Saccharomyces cerevisiae S288C: one gene and its partners. Changing the gene in region 1 together with any one later gene gives a genetic interaction. Each region holds a gene or a part of one and is shown in the gene's direction. Other genes may lie near its edges.

The links. A genetic interaction does not mean that the proteins touch.
Region 2: of RAD52 (region 1) and APN1, changing one enhances a phenotype caused by changing the other (phenotypic enhancement), as found in Saccharomyces cerevisiae (5 studies listed by BioGRID, with this or other methods).
Region 3: mutations in RAD52 (region 1) and CTF4 impair growth when combined (synthetic growth defect), as found in Saccharomyces cerevisiae (6 studies listed by BioGRID, with this or other methods).

Annotation. Positions count from the first base shown.
Region 1 is NC_001145.3:208,494-216,628, reverse strand, and holds RAD52 (recombinase RAD52), read left to right. Parts: upstream 1-2,698; coding exon 2,699-4,114; downstream 4,115-8,135. Other genes in the region: respiratory supercomplex assembly factor RCF1, read right to left, coding at 1-194; NDC1 (Ndc1p), read right to left, coding at 473-2,440; SRC1 (Src1p), read right to left, coding at 4,474-5,058, 5,185-7,104; AMD1 (AMP deaminase), read left to right, coding at 7,769-8,135. UniProt on the Saccharomyces cerevisiae protein: Involved in DNA double-strand break (DSB) repair and recombination. Promotes the annealing of complementary single-stranded DNA and by stimulation of the RAD51 recombinase.
Region 2 is NC_001143.9:221,286-226,359, reverse strand, and holds APN1 (DNA-(apurinic or apyrimidinic site) lyase APN1), read left to right. Parts: upstream 1-1,904; coding exon 1,905-3,008; downstream 3,009-5,074. Other genes in the region: multifunctional nuclease RAD27, read left to right, coding at 485-1,633; serine/threonine protein kinase PRR1, read left to right, coding at 3,460-5,016. UniProt on the Saccharomyces cerevisiae protein: DNA repair enzyme that cleaves apurinic/apyrimidinic (AP) sites and removes 3'-blocking groups present at single strand breaks of damaged DNA. APN1 accounts for > 97% of both apurinic/apyrimidinic (AP) endonuclease and DNA 3'-repair diesterase activities.
Region 3 is NC_001148.4:797,506-804,083, forward strand, and holds CTF4 (chromatin-binding protein CTF4), read left to right. Parts: upstream 1-1,728; coding exon 1,729-4,512; downstream 4,513-6,578. Other genes in the region: TOM5 (Tom5p), read left to right, coding at 52-204; MSS18 (Mss18p), read left to right, coding at 546-1,352; ribosomal RNA-processing protein RRP9, read left to right, coding at 4,854-6,575. UniProt on the Saccharomyces cerevisiae protein: Accessory factor for DNA replication. It plays a role in accurately duplicating the genome in vivo.

The DNA of each region.
Region 1 (8,135 bases):
CGGAAGTAGTACTGAGCTTTCCATTTATTACCAAGACGAACATTTTGAGCAGCCAGAATGACAGCTCCTGTAGTCAGCAAGCACCCAATGGGTACCAATGGCTGTTTCTTACAATGGTATATAATCCTTTCGCCAAAGGTCATATCATCCAAATCCCTCTCCGTAACATCGAAACTAGATGGCATGCGTGACATCTTGAACGTATAACTGTGATGTTATCGCTTCTAGTACCAGGAATTGAATTAATTCCGATAGGAAGCATTGCTTCCTCTTCTCTATACTTTTCTTTACTATTATTCTTGAAGCATAAAAGGGCCCTCCTTGATTCGCTACCCGGAAACGATAAAGGTAGCTTTTTGCTCTTTTTGCTCATATTAGGCCTCTACTAAAGCATTTGTGCGGTATTCCAATTTTTATTATTGTATTTATCTTACATGAAATGGGAGGAGGGGTGCTCCTCGGTTGAATTGTATTACGTAGCATTAGGGTTGCCTGAGGCGTACACTTCTAGAAACCAGTTCGCCAACTTGGCCACGTCTGCATCCAAATATACGTCGTTCAGAGCAACATTGTATTCAAGTACAATCTCCATAAAAGCACTGGTGGACAGCTGATAAAGAACACTGATCATGTCAGTAGTGTCTTTCATGCTATCTTCGTCTTCACTGTCTTGTTGTACTCTATCTTGGGCTGTCCTTTGTGTTTGGAAGGCAGTGTATGCCATCGATTCCGGATCCCAATCGGCAAATTCACCCAGTGCACAGATGGACCTCTCCAAAGTCTTAAGAATATCCCCAACGGATGCAATGATACCGCCTTTTGGATCTTCTGTCTTTGATCGGATCAGCAGTCCTGTCAGTGCTACCACACTATTTGCGTGGCATATGGGCAATGGAACCAGCTTCTCAGCTTGCCTTTTCTTGGAAATGGACCATATGTCAATTATCGAGATTTGGGCTTTGTTGGAGCCATTTGGTAATAGTCTGTAATTGTCGCTTTCATCAGATGATTGTCTTTCTGCGTAGGAAGGGAAAATAAACGACATTATAGAATTTTTCAGTTTTTTTAACATCAGACGCATAGCGGTCATAAATGTTGTTTCGTGGGTGAAAATAGAGCCGTTAAAAGTTTGTGTCGTTTCATCTAAATCGTTGTCGTAATACGAGGACCTATGCCTTTTCTTGTTTCCGCGGTTAAGCAATACACTATCGTCAGTTCTTACCCTCAGCCTGTTTGGTGATTCATCTAATAAGCCGTTATCCCGTAATGGCGCCATCATAGAGGGTCGGTTCCCAAAGAGTCTTTCGTTGGCGCTTGTTAGTTTCCCGTTCTCATACATATAATCTAGATTTTCTACTTTTTTTTTATGTCTAGCAGTTGCAGAGCCCCCAAGATCTTGTACTGATCTTAGGTACTGCACAACCTTTTCATTGTTTATCTGAATGGTCTTCAAGCATTCATTGAGGATTAATGACCAAGTATTACCACTACTGCTTCTGAACTTGGAGTGATATATTGGTGCTCGCAATGATGGATCCAGTGAAGTGGCCCTATACGCTAGTTCCTGGTAGGCAGTCAACCTAGTAAATGGCTTGTCTGCAGAAAGCCCACTAAGCAGGGTTTCCATCGGCGTCGACGACAAATTCGAAATTAGCTTGCCCTTGTGCAGACAACCTATGGACATATGTGCGTCAAATGCTATATTTATGAATTCGAAAGTGATGAAGATAATGCAGGAGATTATTAGTAAATTTGTGACAGCTAGCACGCCATTCGTAAATGAATCAAATAATCCCGATTTTTGCCTGGAAAAAAATACTGTGGTAAAGATTGGTAATACGAACATGCTGATTACACTTAGAATGACTGACTTCTCCATAATCCTCTTGACACGCTCTAATACGTAGTCTTGTGGGGCCTGGAAAAAGTTTTCGCAGTTGAACGACAATTTGTCAGCGTCAGTGACATGATGTTGTAGGTTGTAAATCGTGGGAACGACTAGCCAAATAAACAGCTTATAGTATGGCTTCCATCCAGATCCGCCACGTCCGAAAACCACACCCAGTACGAATGATAAAAGGATGCTGCCCATGCTATAGACTCCCTGGTATACAAGAAACTTTACTGATAACAATTGGCCTAGAATGAAAGTAAGTGAATTAGCGAACCCAAAATTCTTTACATGCATGTAATTTTTTCTTGTCACAATGATCAAAAGGGAAACTAGGTTAAGAGCTAAAATATTGGGAATAAATGCCAATGCCAGTTCCCATAACGGTGAGTGTGGCAACGCCAGCAGTGAAATCACCACAGTTTGGATAATAGAACATATGAAAAACAACCTCGTAACTAAATGGTTGAATCGGGTCTTGCACACGTCGCTAAAGATGGTATGGTACGTGTACCGTGGATTCAACAACTCCCTTGGCGTCTGTATCATCTGCTTGCCCTGTAATGTCCTTTCGTCTTCTCAATCACACTTACTCATCGCCAAAGAGTCTGCTCTTCCCGTTAGTGATTCTCGATGTTATTATATTCTTTAGTCTGTTAAGAAAAGACGAAAAATATAGCGGCGGGCGGGTTACGCGACCGGTATCGAATGGCGTTTTTAAGCTATTTTGCCACTGAGAATCAACAAATGCAAACAAGGAGGTTGCCAAGAACTGCTGAAGGTTCTGGTGGCTTTGGTGTGTTGTTGATGAATGAAATTATGGATATGGATGAGAAGAAGCCCGTTTTCGGTAACCATTCCGAGGACATACAGACCAAATTGGACAAGAAATTAGGACCTGAGTATATCTCCAAGAGAGTTGGGTTTGGAACAAGCAGGATTGCATACATCGAAGGTTGGAGAGTAATTAATCTTGCTAATCAAATCTTTGGATATAATGGCTGGTCTACGGAGGTAAAAAGTGTAGTTATCGATTTTTTGGATGAGCGACAGGGAAAGTTTAGCATAGGGTGTACTGCAATTGTTCGTGTTACGTTGACTAGCGGGACTTATAGGGAAGATATTGGGTATGGTACCGTGGAGAACGAAAGACGGAAACCTGCCGCTTTCGAAAGGGCCAAGAAATCTGCCGTTACGGATGCCTTGAAAAGATCTTTGAGAGGGTTTGGTAATGCTCTAGGAAATTGTCTTTACGATAAAGATTTTCTGGCAAAGATCGATAAGGTGAAGTTCGATCCGCCAGATTTTGACGAAAACAATTTGTTTAGGCCAACGGATGAAATCAGCGAAAGCTCAAGAACGAATACTTTGCATGAAAATCAAGAACAACAACAATACCCGAATAAAAGAAGGCAATTGACTAAAGTTACAAATACCAATCCCGACTCGACGAAGAACCTGGTGAAAATAGAAAATACAGTAAGTCGAGGTACCCCAATGATGGCCGCACCTGCTGAGGCTAACAGTAAAAACAGCAGTAATAAAGATACTGATCTCAAATCTCTCGATGCTTCCAAACAGGATCAAGATGACCTTCTCGATGATTCTCTTATGTTTAGCGATGATTTTCAAGACGACGACTTGATAAATATGGGCAACACAAACAGTAATGTTTTAACGACAGAGAAGGATCCCGTTGTAGCTAAGCAAAGCCCAACTGCTAGCTCAAACCCAGAGGCAGAACAAATCACCTTTGTTACAGCTAAGGCTGCAACTTCCGTACAAAATGAACGTTATATTGGTGAAGAGAGCATTTTTGATCCCAAATACCAGGCACAATCCATTAGGCACACCGTTGATCAGACTACGTCCAAGCATATTCCAGCGAGTGTGCTAAAAGACAAAACGATGACCACCGCGAGGGATTCTGTCTATGAAAAATTTGCACCAAAGGGAAAACAATTGAGCATGAAGAACAATGATAAAGAACTGGGGCCTCATATGCTAGAAGGGGCTGGGAATCAAGTACCGCGTGAAACCACACCAATTAAAACGAACGCTACAGCTTTTCCGCCTGCAGCTGCTCCACGGTTTGCGCCGCCTTCTAAGGTAGTACATCCTAATGGAAATGGTGCAGTGCCAGCCGTTCCGCAACAAAGATCGACACGAAGAGAAGTTGGAAGACCAAAGATCAATCCCCTGCATGCACGCAAGCCTACTTGAAACGCTTCCTGGCCGAAACAAATAAAAAATTTGCATCATTATTTATTACTCCAAAATCCTCTAGTTACTCTTTCAATTCTGATTTTATTTGTATTTCTTCCTATATCGTCTAGTTTTTCTTTCCTCCATGTGTCGTATTAATATTTACTTTAAATCGAATAAAAAATTCTTATTATTTTACAAGTCATTTTCAGGATTAGATTCATTATAACTTTACAAAAGTATTACATAAAGAATTATATAACAGATATTAGGATAACCGTATAAATAGAATAAACTATACAAATATGGCAACTCGGAAAAACAATAGATCATTAAGTTTGAGAAGAGAAAACTACGTTTGAGTTTCATTTTGTGGGTTATATTTTGTTTTCAGCGGAATCCTTAGGTTCATTGAGTTCCATCGGACCTATCCATTCCCAACATTTCATTATTTCACCTCGAATTTCAGTTAAGTTCGATTTAATATTACTGTTATTATGCTCTAAATATTTTACCACTTCTGACCATAATTGATTTTTGTATTTCAGATCGACAATATCAGAAAGAAAGATGTCACGCAATTGAACTATGCTCAAATACGCGTTTTCTTTCGGATCGGACATTGATTTAATCTTTTGGAATTTCAATTTTTCCATGGTTTGAGTAACGAGTTCTTCAATTCTTGCCTTCTTTCTATAATAATTCTTCAGCTTGATCTCGATTACTTTACTAATGACTATCAGTAAAAACATTAGCCATATTGGCCTTTGAAATTTTTTATACGTTTGGTAGATTTCTCTTTCAAATCGACACTTCATTCCAATGTATTTCTTGGACGTCGACCGAAAATTCCTCGTCTTGGAGATGAATTTTTCTGGAAGATGTCTCTTCTGTCTCGGAACGTCATTGGTTTTAATGATGTTGTTGGAATTTCCGCCAATGTTGTTGTCAGTGGGTGATAACTAGAGAAAATTAGGAAAAGATGTTAGTAAATAAATCAAAAACAAAAAAAAATTCAAAAAAAATTAAAACTGTTATCATATAATAACAGGTTTAATAATTTTTGTAAGATAATAAATTGTACTCACTTGCCTCCATAATATTTCTGGTTCTTCAGTTAAATCTTTGATAACTTGGATCCACAGGTCCTCAAATTCATCGTCGCGAATCCAAGGAGCTCTAGCCTCATTAAATATTTGATAGAGGGCATCTTCCGTCATACCACTCTCGATGTCGTCTTTTCCGTCACCGCATGAAATTTGTGCATTTTTGGCTCTCAGAAACTCTAAAGATTTTTCAACCACTTCGGAAACTAACTGCTGTTTTTTGTCGTCTTTAACACATTTGCCTTGTGCAGGAATAATTTCCAAAAAGTCAAGTCTAGATGGTGCTAACTTGTAATCTGGCTTACATTTAAGTTTCAAATAAGGATAACAAATACCATTGGGTGGACAAGGGATACATTTCGGTCTGTAGTCCTGCAACAAATTATCCAGTTTTTGAATAAACTCGAAGGAATTGCCACTAACTCGATGGGATGGTACTTCATGCCCACAGTAACCTATGAGCAGTCTTTGCTCTCTATACCAGAGGCCAAATAAGAGAGGAATAACAATGAATATGCAAAATAAAAATAGCGCCAGTAATGATTTGCTCAAAAATTTGAGTGCTCTTTTGAACTTATGCCTGTTCCCGACCTTCCCAGATCCTTGCTTAACATCAAATTCACTCCCATTTTCATGCTCTAATTGCTCATTTACTTCCTCTTGAAGTTCTTGCACTCTTGCTTCACACTTTTCGACGTCTTTCTCTGTGGGTAATTGGGGAGTCTCGATCCTTGTAGGCACTAAAACTTCATCTTCATCCGATACCAAGTTACTACTATCTGTATCTATCATTTCGACCACATTATTGCTGGTATTACCCATAGGCTGATGAGGACCTGGCGTGGTGATCTCTGGAAGCAAGGGTGCTTCCGACTCTGAGCCAGAGCCTTCGGACGAAAACAAAGACGGTGTTCTTTCACTCTGAGAAGGTTCTTGCTGTTCCACTTCTGGAACCAGTATTGTAGATGGTACCTCCTTTTGAGGCAATTTATCCGCAAATGAGGCAGAAACTTTTAACTTACTCAAGGGTGTGCTATGGCCTGTTCCATTGGCAGTTCCGAGCTCTTTTGGATTGTGTCGTATGTTCGGTACAAATGGATCATTTTCCGTACCGCTTGAAGTCAACGAATCGTTAAAATTATCCATGCTTACTGGCTTTCTATTTGTGTTCTTTATTGGTGTTTTGACGGAAAGTTTTCCTAAAATGGCAGAGCCATTTCCATGCTCTTGGTTCAAATCACTCGTCTTACGCTTTTTTGCCTTCTGGTAATCCTGTTCAATTTCTGAATCTGATGATAGGAGGTTCAAATGCTTATTATCGATTTTATTTTCCTTTGAATTAGATTCAGACCAGTCGTCAGAATCAGGGTCTTTCCTTTTCTTACGAGTATCGGAATTTTGCTGGAAATCATTGGTGTCTGATTTGTTGGAGCTTGATGTTATCACATCATCCTCTTCATCGTCCACTTCATCGGTATCCGTTCCACTAGGTACAATTAAAGGATCGTCTTTTTTATCATTGTCATCATCATCATCATCATCATCATCATCATCATTACTTACATCATCCAGTATTCTATTCTTCTTAAACTGTTTGGCCATGGGGGAAGCAGATTTCTCCCTGCGAGCTCGTCTACTTCTACGAGGGGAAGCTATAGATGGGGAAGATGAGGGACGGTCCATTTTCACAATACCTTCATCGCTGGGCCGAACGTTCAGATACATTTTCCGTAACTGCGGGATCTGCGGTTTAACCTTTTCATCGAACAGCCCCACCAGCGCATTTTTCCTAGCATTAGATGGGAAATCGACATTATTTTCTACCAATATCCTCCTCAAAGTCGCAACTTTCATTGAATTCGGATCAAAACCGTCCTCTAAATACTCCAAGTCACTATTCATCGCGGCACTAACTGAGTACTGCTACCGTTCTACTGTTTGTTGTTCTGGCCTCTACGTTCACTCCGTATGGTCTCAGTCTACTATTAATAATGACTGAGGACTATTTCTCTTCCATGTATTCCGCATAGTATATTGACAGCTATACAAGTAGATCGATGTCCAGATTAGCCACCACAAATTGAAACCAAAACAAAAACAAAGGGGGCTTCCTAAAACAGTAATTTTGAGGGCTCTTTAAAACCCTTGATTTCCGTTCAGGGTGATCAATATATATATCCTAGTTATTTTATAGATGCCCTAACTTTATTTTTAGGGCACGTGGGGGTCTTCTCTTTTCTTTTTTCATTCCTTTTTCATCTTTTTTTTGCGCCTGGCGATGATGAGAAAGGAGTTCTAGTAGCACAAGGTTTAAAGGATATTATCAAAAAATAGATAAATTTTAAAAAAAAAAAAAAGGCATCTCTTGACGACTTTTCTTCTCTCTCTCTACAGGCAGAATTAGCAGCGTTTCTCGTATACTAGTCAATTATCGGATATTAATAGTATTTTTATTATAGTCTCCCTGCTATAGCCAATTTTGATTCAGCAAAACTCGATTGAACTGCTAGTACGCCAGATTAATAAATTATATAACAAATAAAAAGGGGGCATTCTAAAAAAAATTATGGACAATCAGGCTACACAGAGGCTTAACGACCTTTCTCTAGAACCAGCTCCTTCACACGATGAACAAGATGGTTCAGGACTAGTCATTGACATAGATCAAAGAAAGATTGGTGATGAACAAGCTGGTGTCGTAGTGGATGATGAGACACCCCCCTTAGAGCAGCAAGATTCACACGAAAGTTTAGCTGCTGATTCTCGGAATGCTAATTTCTCGTATCACGAGAATCAGCAGTTGTTGGAAAATGGCACCAAACAGTTGGCCCTAGATGAGCATGATTCTCACTCTGCCATCTTGGAGCAACCATCGCATTCTACCAATTGTAGCTCTTCCAACATAGCAGCGATGAATAAGGGCCATGACTCGG
Region 2 (5,074 bases), on another chromosome or scaffold:
GAAAGAAGTAGAAAGTGATATAAGTTTGCTTGCCACTTTTCGTTTTTCACGAAAAAAACAGGCGAAAAAAAATGCTAGACTAGTACCCGGCTGAATCACACCTCGTTAACAGTGACTTTCGGTGACAGATACCCGATTGGGCACCCGGCTGGTAAGTTATGATAGAAAGCCAACGCTGTACTATTGGCTTAGCTATGGCAATATTTTGATTATCAACTAGTTTTATTAACGTTATAATTAGTGTAACCAGTTTTTCATCTATTTCATTTATTTCATTTATTTACTTTAATTGCAGATCCCCCTAACGCGTTTAAAGCTTTTATTCACTAGCTTATGTATTTTTTATAGGAAACGCGACGCGTAACATCGCGCAAATGAAGGTTTTGATGTATTATAATGAGGTATTCTTCCTTATATACATCGATGAAAAGCGTTGACAGCATACATTGGAAAGAAATAGGAAACGGACACCGGAAGAAAAAATATGGGTATTAAAGGTTTGAATGCAATTATATCGGAACATGTTCCCTCTGCTATCAGGAAAAGCGATATCAAGAGCTTTTTTGGCAGAAAGGTTGCCATCGATGCCTCTATGTCTCTATATCAGTTTTTAATTGCTGTAAGACAGCAAGACGGTGGGCAGTTGACCAATGAAGCCGGTGAAACAACGTCACACTTGATGGGTATGTTTTATAGGACACTGAGAATGATTGATAACGGTATCAAGCCTTGTTATGTCTTCGACGGCAAACCTCCAGATTTGAAATCTCATGAGTTGACAAAGCGGTCTTCAAGAAGGGTGGAAACAGAAAAAAAACTGGCAGAGGCAACAACAGAATTGGAAAAGATGAAGCAAGAAAGAAGATTGGTGAAGGTCTCAAAAGAGCATAATGAAGAAGCCCAAAAATTACTAGGACTAATGGGAATCCCATATATAATAGCGCCAACGGAAGCTGAGGCTCAATGTGCTGAGTTGGCAAAGAAGGGAAAGGTGTATGCCGCAGCAAGTGAAGATATGGACACACTCTGTTATAGAACACCCTTCTTGTTGAGACATTTGACTTTTTCAGAGGCCAAGAAGGAACCGATTCACGAAATAGATACTGAATTAGTTTTGAGAGGACTCGACTTGACAATAGAGCAGTTTGTTGATCTTTGCATAATGCTTGGTTGTGACTACTGTGAAAGCATCAGAGGTGTTGGTCCAGTGACAGCCTTAAAATTGATAAAAACGCATGGATCCATCGAAAAAATCGTGGAGTTTATTGAATCTGGGGAGTCAAACAACACTAAATGGAAAATCCCAGAAGACTGGCCTTACAAACAAGCAAGAATGCTGTTTCTTGACCCTGAAGTTATAGATGGTAACGAAATAAACTTGAAATGGTCGCCACCAAAGGAGAAGGAACTTATCGAGTATTTATGTGATGATAAGAAATTCAGTGAAGAAAGAGTTAAATCTGGTATATCAAGATTGAAAAAAGGCTTGAAATCTGGCATTCAGGGTAGGTTAGATGGGTTCTTCCAAGTGGTGCCTAAGACAAAGGAACAGCTGGCTGCTGCGGCGAAAAGAGCACAAGAAAATAAAAAATTGAACAAAAATAAGAATAAAGTCACAAAGGGAAGAAGATGAGGGGGTTCTTTTTCCACTTTCTTCTTTTGGTCCTTCACCTTGGCATATATGTAACATAGATATTTGTATACACGAACTTTTTTCATCTAATACTTCTCTTTTTTTGCCAGTTTTTCTGGGAACTTGAACGTGGAATTTTTCATTCTTACCTGGTTTCTTTTTCTTCATTTCTTTACATGTTGGAAATCATTGTAAATATAAGATGACAAACTCCGAATAAGAAACACAAAACGCAACATTAATAAGCTTTTGGCATATCGGAACCATCGTAATGCCTTCGACACCTAGCTTTGTTAGATCTGCTGTCTCGAAATACAAATTTGGTGCGCACATGTCAGGTGCCGGTGGAATTTCTAATAGTGTAACTAATGCATTTAACACTGGCTGTAATTCGTTTGCCATGTTTTTAAAATCTCCAAGAAAGTGGGTTTCTCCGCAGTATACACAGGAGGAAATAGATAAATTTAAGAAAAACTGTGCAACTTACAATTATAACCCATTGACGGACGTCTTACCGCATGGCCAATACTTTATTAATTTGGCTAATCCGGATAGGGAAAAGGCAGAAAAGAGTTATGAGTCATTCATGGACGATCTGAACAGGTGTGAGCAATTAGGGATAGGCCTGTATAACTTACATCCAGGTTCTACTTTGAAAGGAGACCATCAGTTGCAGTTAAAACAACTAGCCTCATATTTGAACAAAGCAATTAAGGAAACGAAATTTGTTAAAATTGTATTAGAAAATATGGCTGGTACTGGAAATTTAGTAGGAAGTTCTCTGGTAGATTTGAAGGAGGTTATTGGAATGATTGAAGATAAATCAAGAATCGGCGTTTGCATAGATACATGCCATACATTTGCAGCAGGCTACGATATCAGCACCACTGAAACGTTTAACAATTTTTGGAAAGAGTTCAATGATGTAATAGGGTTCAAATATCTAAGTGCTGTTCACTTAAATGATTCCAAGGCTCCTTTAGGAGCAAATAGAGATTTGCATGAACGCTTGGGTCAAGGTTATTTGGGTATAGATGTGTTTAGAATGATCGCGCACTCTGAATACCTGCAGGGTATCCCTATTGTCTTGGAAACTCCATACGAAAATGATGAAGGCTATGGTAATGAAATCAAACTTATGGAGTGGTTGGAATCAAAGAGTGAGAGCGAATTGTTAGAAGACAAGGAGTATAAAGAAAAAAATGATACGCTGCAGAAATTAGGTGCTAAATCGCGTAAGGAACAGTTAGACAAGTTTGAGGTTAAACAAAAGAAGCGAGCTGGGGGCACCAAGAGGAAGAAAGCCACTGCAGAGCCAAGCGATAATGATATCTTGTCACAAATGACAAAGAAGAGGAAGACTAAGAAAGAATAATGAGAAGCGAGAAGAATTTTAAATACGTAATCAATTTTTGTAGATTATCTCAACGTACGTAACTAAATGCTACCCTTCGTCATCCAAGATGCTGTTGCCCATTTCATAGAAACTACTTACTTGGTTTATAGATGTTTCGCGTTGCGTTACAGAATAAGGCAGCCTTTTTTTTTTTTAGATTTTCATTTTTCACATACTGATGGATTAGCAGACGAAAAGGGTAAAGTTAAATACATTCCAGTAAATGAACTAAGAAGGCTGAGCACACCATCCTCTTATGGAACGTTATTCCTAAGCATAGAAAGTTTTTTACTTGTAATCTTCAACGCGGGGTGTGTTCTTTATCTTTTTTTTCTTTTTTACACAATTAGACAAGTATATTTTGAGATAGTAATCACATCTACGCTTCGAATTCATCCATACCCACAGCAGCTGTTAGGTTATACCGACAATGGATGAATATAGTAGTATATATTCACAACCAAAGACTCCTCGGTTGAAACAAGAAGGATTTCCCGACTCCATTGGCGATCAACACGAAAAGGCATTGATTGATGAAAATGGTGAGGAAGATAAAAAAATGGCATCCACTGAAGGGACCACTGGTGATTCTCGCAGTACACCTTTGACTGTATCTATTCCGACGTTTGAAAATGTCCAAGCATTACCTACACCGATGACCTACACTCCGTTATCCCCAGGCAATCTGTCAATGTCACCTATAGATCAATCCTCGTTGAATATACCCAAAAGACGAAGTCATGCACGATTACTGGATGATATGCTTTCTGTTACACAACCAAACCAAAGAGTTGTTTCTGAACTTATTGCACCAGCTAATTTATCCCCCCAAAGGGTTGTTTCCTTACCAACAGTGACTGAAGAGGCTTTAGTAAATGATTCTGTTGATAGTGATAACTACACGAAAGAACCTTATTTTCCCGAAAGTAGTAGTTCTACCGAAAAGTGTGACGATGATATATTTCAGGGATTTCTTTTAGATCACTGGGATCGCCCGTTATTATGGAAAAAGGTCAGGCCCATTGGTTCAGGAAATTTTAGTACCGTACTTTTATATGAACTCATGGACCAAAGCAATCCTAAACTGAAACAAGTGGCCGTTAAACGACTCAAATATCCCGAGGAATTATCAAATGTTGAACAAATCAATACATCGTTACGATATAAGGAAACTTTATCCCGTTTGGAAAATTCTCTGACTAGGGAATTGCAGGTGCTAAAATCACTAAATCACCCATGTATAGTTAAACTACTTGGGATAAACAATCCAATTTTTGTTACTAGCAAAAAACCTTTATGCGATTTGATTATAAAAACTCCAAGAGCTCTGCCGCCTTGTGATATGATTATGTCTTATTGTCCTGCAGGAGACTTATTAGCTGCCGTCATGGCCCGTAACGGAAGACTAGAAGCGTGGCTGATTCAAAGGATTTTTACGGAAGTAGTACTGGCAGTAAAATATTTGCACGAAAACAGTATTATTCATCGGGACCTAAAATTAGAGAATATACTACTGAAATATAGTTTTGATGATATCAACAGTTTTAGGGACTCACCCATTTACTGCAAGCAAAATTTCATTGAGCTAGCAGATTTTGGTCTCTGCAAAAAAATTGAGAACAATGAGATGTGTACAGCAAGATGTGGATCAGAGGATTATGTCTCACCAGAAATCCTGATGGGAGTTCCCTACGATGGCCATTTAAGCGACACGTGGGCCTTAGGTGTCATACTATACAGCTTGTTTGAGGACAGATTACCATTTGACCCTCCTCCAAACGCTTCAGCAAGACAGCGTAGCAGAGCTACGTCACATCGTATTGCCAGGTTTGATTGGAGATGGTACCGGTTAAGCGATTATAAAACTAATGTGGGAAAACAGATTGTGGAAAATACGCTAACGAGGAAGAACCAACGTTGGTCGATTAATGAAATTTACGAATCCCCCTTCGTTAAAACGATCGCTGATACTCTAAGTTTTTCTTGAAATTTCCCACGGATGGGAGTTACTTTCGTTTTCTTTCTTATTGCTTACACCTGATAAT
Region 3 (6,578 bases), on another chromosome or scaffold:
CAGTTTCCCACAAAAGGCGTCCATTGGCATCAAATAACTAGATAGTATAAAATGTTTGGTCTACCTCAACAGGAAGTCTCCGAAGAGGAGAAAAGAGCTCATCAAGAACAAACTGAGAAAACCTTGAAACAGGCCGCTTATGTGGCTGCGTTTCTTTGGGTTTCCCCAATGATCTGGCATTTGGTGAAAAAGCAATGGAAATAATTCCCCACTGAAGAAAAAAGATTGCATCTATGAATGACACTAAAATATGTTTCTCTTTTTGTATTTGCTTTTGATTAAATAATGGTCAATTTGCGCCCCCCACCTTATATAGTTTAGAGAAAGACGTGTAAATATTTTTTAAAAAATTGATACTGCTCTAATGAGCCTAAATCTCCTTTCTTCGCTTGTATATATGCGTATTCTGTATGTTTGTCCAGGCAGATTTTTCGGCTTTTTTTACCAGCTTTTATTATTAAAATGTGATAACCTTAATTGAAGGTTGCGATACAAAATAATCCTTTATTACGCATAACCAAGGAAAAGAGAAAATCAGTGCACATATGGGTTTACCTGAAGTTAACTTTCTTCGAAAAAACTGCATACTTGTGGAGTTAAAATTATTCTATCAAACAGTATACCCACCGAAGGAACTATATTGGAATAACCGAATAACTGCAGAATTGAGTACATTCTCCAATATTAAGTATGCAAGGCCGACTTTCGCAGTAAATAATGGCACATTTCAGAGAACAAGACCGAAATTAGACTTGGTACTGGCTTCATCTGATATTCGTAAGCTGGCTACGGTTTTATTTAATTTAAAAGCTCTCATAATGAATACGAAGGGTGAGGAACCCACTCTAACCACGATGACTAGTGTCCAAACGAACGAAGAGAAAAATGATAACCTGGAACAGAAATATTCAAGTCTGCTAGATAGATGGAATGGGAAAGTAGAAGTGCATGATTCTCCTTTCCTTCAACTCCAACGGGACAGCAACCTTTTGTTTGCTGAGAGGCCGGTACGTTACGTTAGCACTACAGAAGGTGAAGGCGTGGACATATCTAGTGAAGAGTTTTTCAGGTTAGAGGAAGAACAGTGCCGAAGGAATTATGATGTTTTGGTCGATGAACATTCTACACCATCAGTCGGGATGAAAGACGGCCAATACGGACCAAATATAATTCACTTTGAACCGTCGCTGTACCACACATATTCTTCTCTACCAATGAGTATGAAATTTTGGTTAAATGGTCTAGAAGACGACGAAACGACGATGATGAACATTGATGAGAAGTCAGCCGAAAATCTGGATATATTATTACATGGTTTCAAAGGATTTTCGAACAAGCGCGTTAAAGGATGAATTAATCATCCTCTTCATGTACTACTTATGTCCAATTTGAGTGTAAAATCACAGGTACAAGGCTTATCCATATTCGTATATATCTTCATAATGTTTCATAATTGCTTCAGAAAATTATTCAAAACGTCTTGTGATATTCATTAGGTGAAATCGTAGTTTGCCTGATACTTGAAAGAATCTCACCTGGAGAATGGGTGTTTTCACTAAGATTCGTTAATTTCCACTAATGATTAATTGTTAACTGTTTAACGCGACGCGTAATAAAGTTTCCTGAATACGCCAACATATGGGAACATATAGATTAAATTAATAAGAAAGCTTGGGAAAAATAATTGAGAAGGGCAAGAAGTGACGTAAATATACTAGACGTACTATTATGGTTTCAGTTATAGACAAGCTTGTTTTTGACTTTGGTGGGAAAACTCTGGTCTCTCTCGCACCAGATAATAATACTTTGTGTGTAGCCAATAAAAATGGCTTAACCAAGATTCTGAAGACAAATAACCCAGAAGAAGAGCCAGAGACTTTAGATTCTTCCAAATTGGTCTCGTCTATAAAATGCTATTCAAACTCGCACTTTCTGATGACTACAATGCAAGGTGATGCTCTTAGGTATAACATCGATTCTAGTCAAGAAGAATTATTGGCTAGATTTGCTTTACCCCTACGTGACTGCTGTGTTATTCATTCAGGTAAAATGGCCGTATTTGGAGGAGACGACTTAGAACTAATCCTTTTGGAATTGGACGATGAAACACACAAAAAACATGCCATTAAAATCGATGAACAAGTTTCTCAAATTTCTTACAATTCACAGATGAATATTTTAGCAGTTTCAATGATAAATGGTAAGGTACAAATTTTTTCTCTGACATCTACTATTCCAAACAAAGTTCATGAGTTAAATGATTACATAGTGGCCAATTCATATGATGATACACACAGAGATAAGATACTCTCGAATATGATGGATGATATAGATAAAGACAATGATAATGACCTGAGTGAAACGGCTGATCCAGATGAGAACAATGTAGCTGATCCAGAATTCTGTGCTGCTAATAGAATTTGCACGAGAGTGGCTTGGCATCCGAAGGGTCTGCATTTTGCGCTACCATGTGCAGATGATACAGTAAAAATATTCTCTATAAAGGGATATTCCCTACAAAAGACGTTGTCCACAAATCTCTCATCAACAAAGGCTCATTTCATTGATTTGCAATTTGACCCGTTACGTGGAACTTACATTGCGGCAGTAGATTTAAATAATAAGTTAACGGTATGGAATTGGGAAACTTCCGAGATCCACTACACCAGGGAATTCAAAAGAAAAATTACTAATATTGCCTGGAAAATCCAAGCGGACTCAAAAACTCTAGACCTTGTTTTAGGTACCTGGTCCGGTAGTATAGCCATTGTCCAAAATTTGGCAGAGTCCGTAGTATCTAATATACCTGACCAATCTGTTGCTGAATCTTCAACTAAACATGGGCTTTTTGTAGACTCCGAATCTGACTTGGAAAACTTAGAGGGAAATGATGATATAAACAAAAGCGATAAGCTATTTTCAGATATTACTCAAGAAGCGAATGCGGAAGATGTGTTCACTCAAACACACGACGGCCCCAGTGGATTAAGTGAAAAGAGAAAATACAACTTCGAAGATGAAGAAGACTTTATTGATGATGACGATGGTGCTGGTTATATTAGTGGCAAAAAACCACATAATGAACATTCTTATTCGAGAGTACACAAGACTCATTCGTTTCCAATCAGTTTGGCAAACACAGGAAAATTTCGTTATATGCCTTTTTCTCCAGCGGGAACACCTTTTGGCTTTACTGACAGGCGTTATTTGACAATGAATGAAGTGGGCTACGTATCTACTGTCAAGAATAGTGAGCAATACAGCATAACTGTCTCTTTTTTTGATGTTGGACGTTTTAGAGAATACCATTTCGAGGACTTATTTGGCTACGATTTATGCTTCCTAAATGAAAAAGGCACTTTATTTGGCCAATCCAAAACTGGGCAGATACAATATAGGCCACACGATAGCATACATTCAAACTGGACCAAGATTATTCCTTTGCAAGCTGGTGAGAGAATAACAAGTGTGGCAGCCACCCCGGTTCGCGTTATTGTTGGTACATCATTAGGCTATTTCAGAAGTTTCAATCAATTCGGGGTTCCATTTGCTGTTGAAAAGACATCCCCAATTGTAGCGCTTACTGCTCAGAATTATAGGGTTTTTTCAGTACATTATTCGCAGTTTCATGGCCTTTCATACTCTTTATCTGAATTGGGTACTTCTAGTAAAAGGTACTATAAAAGAGAGTGTCCACTTCCAATGAGTTTACCAAACATTAATTCTGATATGAAAAAAGACGCAAATCTTGACTACTACAATTTTAATCCGATGGGCATCAAAAGTTTGTTCTTTTCAAGCTACGGAGATCCATGCATTTTTGGGTCCGACAACACGCTTCTATTGTTATCAAAGTGGAGATCACCAGAAGAAAGTAAATGGCTCCCTATTCTAGATAGCAACATGGAAATATGGAAGATGTCAGGAGGGAAGGAAACGACAGATATACATGTCTGGCCCTTGGCTTTGGCGTATGACACATTGAATTGTATCTTAGTTAAGGGCAAGCATATATGGCCCGAGTTTCCCCTTCCGTTGCCATCCGAAATGGAGATTAGAATGCCAGTATTTGTTAAGAGTAAATTACTAGAGGAAAACAAAGCTATATTAAATAAAAAGAACGAAATTGGAGCTGACACCGAAGCGGAAGAAGGGGAAGAAGACAAAGAAATACAGATTCCTGTTTCTATGGCGGCGGAAGAAGAGTATCTGCGCAGCAAGGTTTTGTCAGAGCTGTTGACAGATACACTCGAAAATGACGGTGAAATGTACGGCAACGAAAATGAGGTATTGGCAGCATTGAACGGTGCATATGATAAGGCTTTGTTACGTTTATTTGCGTCTGCATGCTCAGACCAAAATGTTGAAAAGGCTCTTTCGCTTGCTCATGAATTAAAACAAGATAGAGCACTTACTGCAGCCGTTAAGATATCAGAAAGAGCTGAGCTGCCCTCTCTCGTTAAAAAAATTAATAATATAAGGGAAGCTAGATATGAACAGCAATTGAAATAAAAAAATGTAAAATATATATACGCAAGAGACAATTATTTGATACCTGTTCATTTGTTCAAATCATCGTTCAAAATGCTCCCACATTAACATATATTTCTTTGAATGCGACGATAATAAAGAGTTACGTTGAACATGATCTGAGCTGGAAGCGTCCTTGCGAATTTTCGCGAAAGGAAAAAGTGAAAAAATATGAAAAAAAAAAAAAGAGATGACATTTTATAGATGAGCTTTGATTAAACAGTGTAACACCTGGTCCTGTACCGTAAATATTCAAATAAGCATCAATTCAAAGTTCTTTATTTCTTCTTTAGCATTTCAAAATTATAGAAAATCTAGAAAAGATGTCAGATGTTACCCAACAGAAAAAGAGGAAAAGATCCAAAGGAGAAGTTAATCCATCAAAACCCACAGTAGACGAAGAAATCACAGATCCATCCTCAAACGAAGATGAACAACTAGAAGTTTCGGATGAAGAAGACGCATTGGAATCTGAAGAAGAATTCGAGGGTGAAAATCCAGCCGATAAAAGAAGGAGGCTTGCAAAGCAATATCTGGAGAATCTGAAAAGCGAAGCTAATGACATTTTAACTGATAATAGGAACGCTGAAGAAAAAGATTTAAACAATCTCAAGGAAAGAACAATCGACGAGTACAACAATTTTGATGCTGGAGATTTGGATAAGGATATCATTGCGTCCAGGTTAAAAGAAGACGTTGCTGAACAGCAAGGCCGAGTCTTCAGATATTTTGGCGATAAACTTCTAATATCTGAAGCAAAACAGAGCTTTACCAGGGTAGGGGAAAATAACCTTACTTGCATTAGTTGTTTCCAACCCGTTTTAAACAAATACACCTTCGAGGAATCATCTAATGGCGATAAGAACAAAGGTAGGTTATTTGCCTATACAGTTAGCAAAGACTTACAACTCACCAAATATGACATTACTGACTTTAGCAAAAGACCAAAGAAGCTAAAATACGCTAAAGGAGGAGCAAAATATATACCTACGAGCAAGCACGAATATGAGAATACCACAGAAGGCCATTATGACGAAATCTTAACTGTAGCAGCCTCACCAGATGGTAAATATGTTGTCACAGGTGGAAGAGATAGGAAGTTAATTGTATGGAGCACAGAATCTCTATCACCCGTTAAAGTTATTCCAACAAAGGATCGCCGAGGGGAAGTTTTATCGTTGGCTTTTAGAAAAAATTCTGATCAGTTATATGCATCCTGCGCAGATTTTAAGATAAGAACATATTCAATAAATCAATTTTCCCAGTTGGAGATTCTTTATGGGCATCATGATATAGTGGAAGATATATCTGCGTTGGCGATGGAAAGGTGTGTTACCGTTGGTGCCCGTGATAGAACAGCTATGCTTTGGAAGATTCCTGACGAGACCAGACTAACATTTAGAGGTGGCGATGAACCTCAAAAGCTACTAAGGAGATGGATGAAAGAAAACGCTAAGGAGGGAGAAGATGGAGAAGTCAAATATCCTGATGAATCAGAGGCACCTTTATTTTTCTGCGAGGGTAGTATTGACGTTGTGAGTATGGTGGATGATTTTCACTTTATAACAGGCTCCGATAATGGTAATATATGTCTATGGTCTCTGGCGAAGAAGAAACCTATCTTCACGGAAAGAATTGCCCATGGTATTTTACCTGAGCCCTCTTTCAATGACATTTCGGGGGAAACCGATGAAGAATTAAGAAAAAGACAGTTGCAAGGCAAGAAATTGCTACAACCATTTTGGATCACATCTCTTTACGCTATTCCATATTCGAATGTATTCATATCTGGATCATGGAGTGGATCGCTAAAAGTTTGGAAAATTAGTGATAATCTCAGATCATTTGAGTTGCTAGGTGAATTATCTGGCGCTAAAGGTGTAGTTACCAAGATTCAGGTTGTAGAAAGTGGTAAACATGGGAAGGAGAAGTTCCGTATTTTGGCTAGTATTGCCAAAGAACACAGACTCGGTAGATGGATTGCAAATGTTTCAGGTGCCAGAAATGGTATATATTCAGCTGTCATTGACCAAACAGGCTTTTAGATT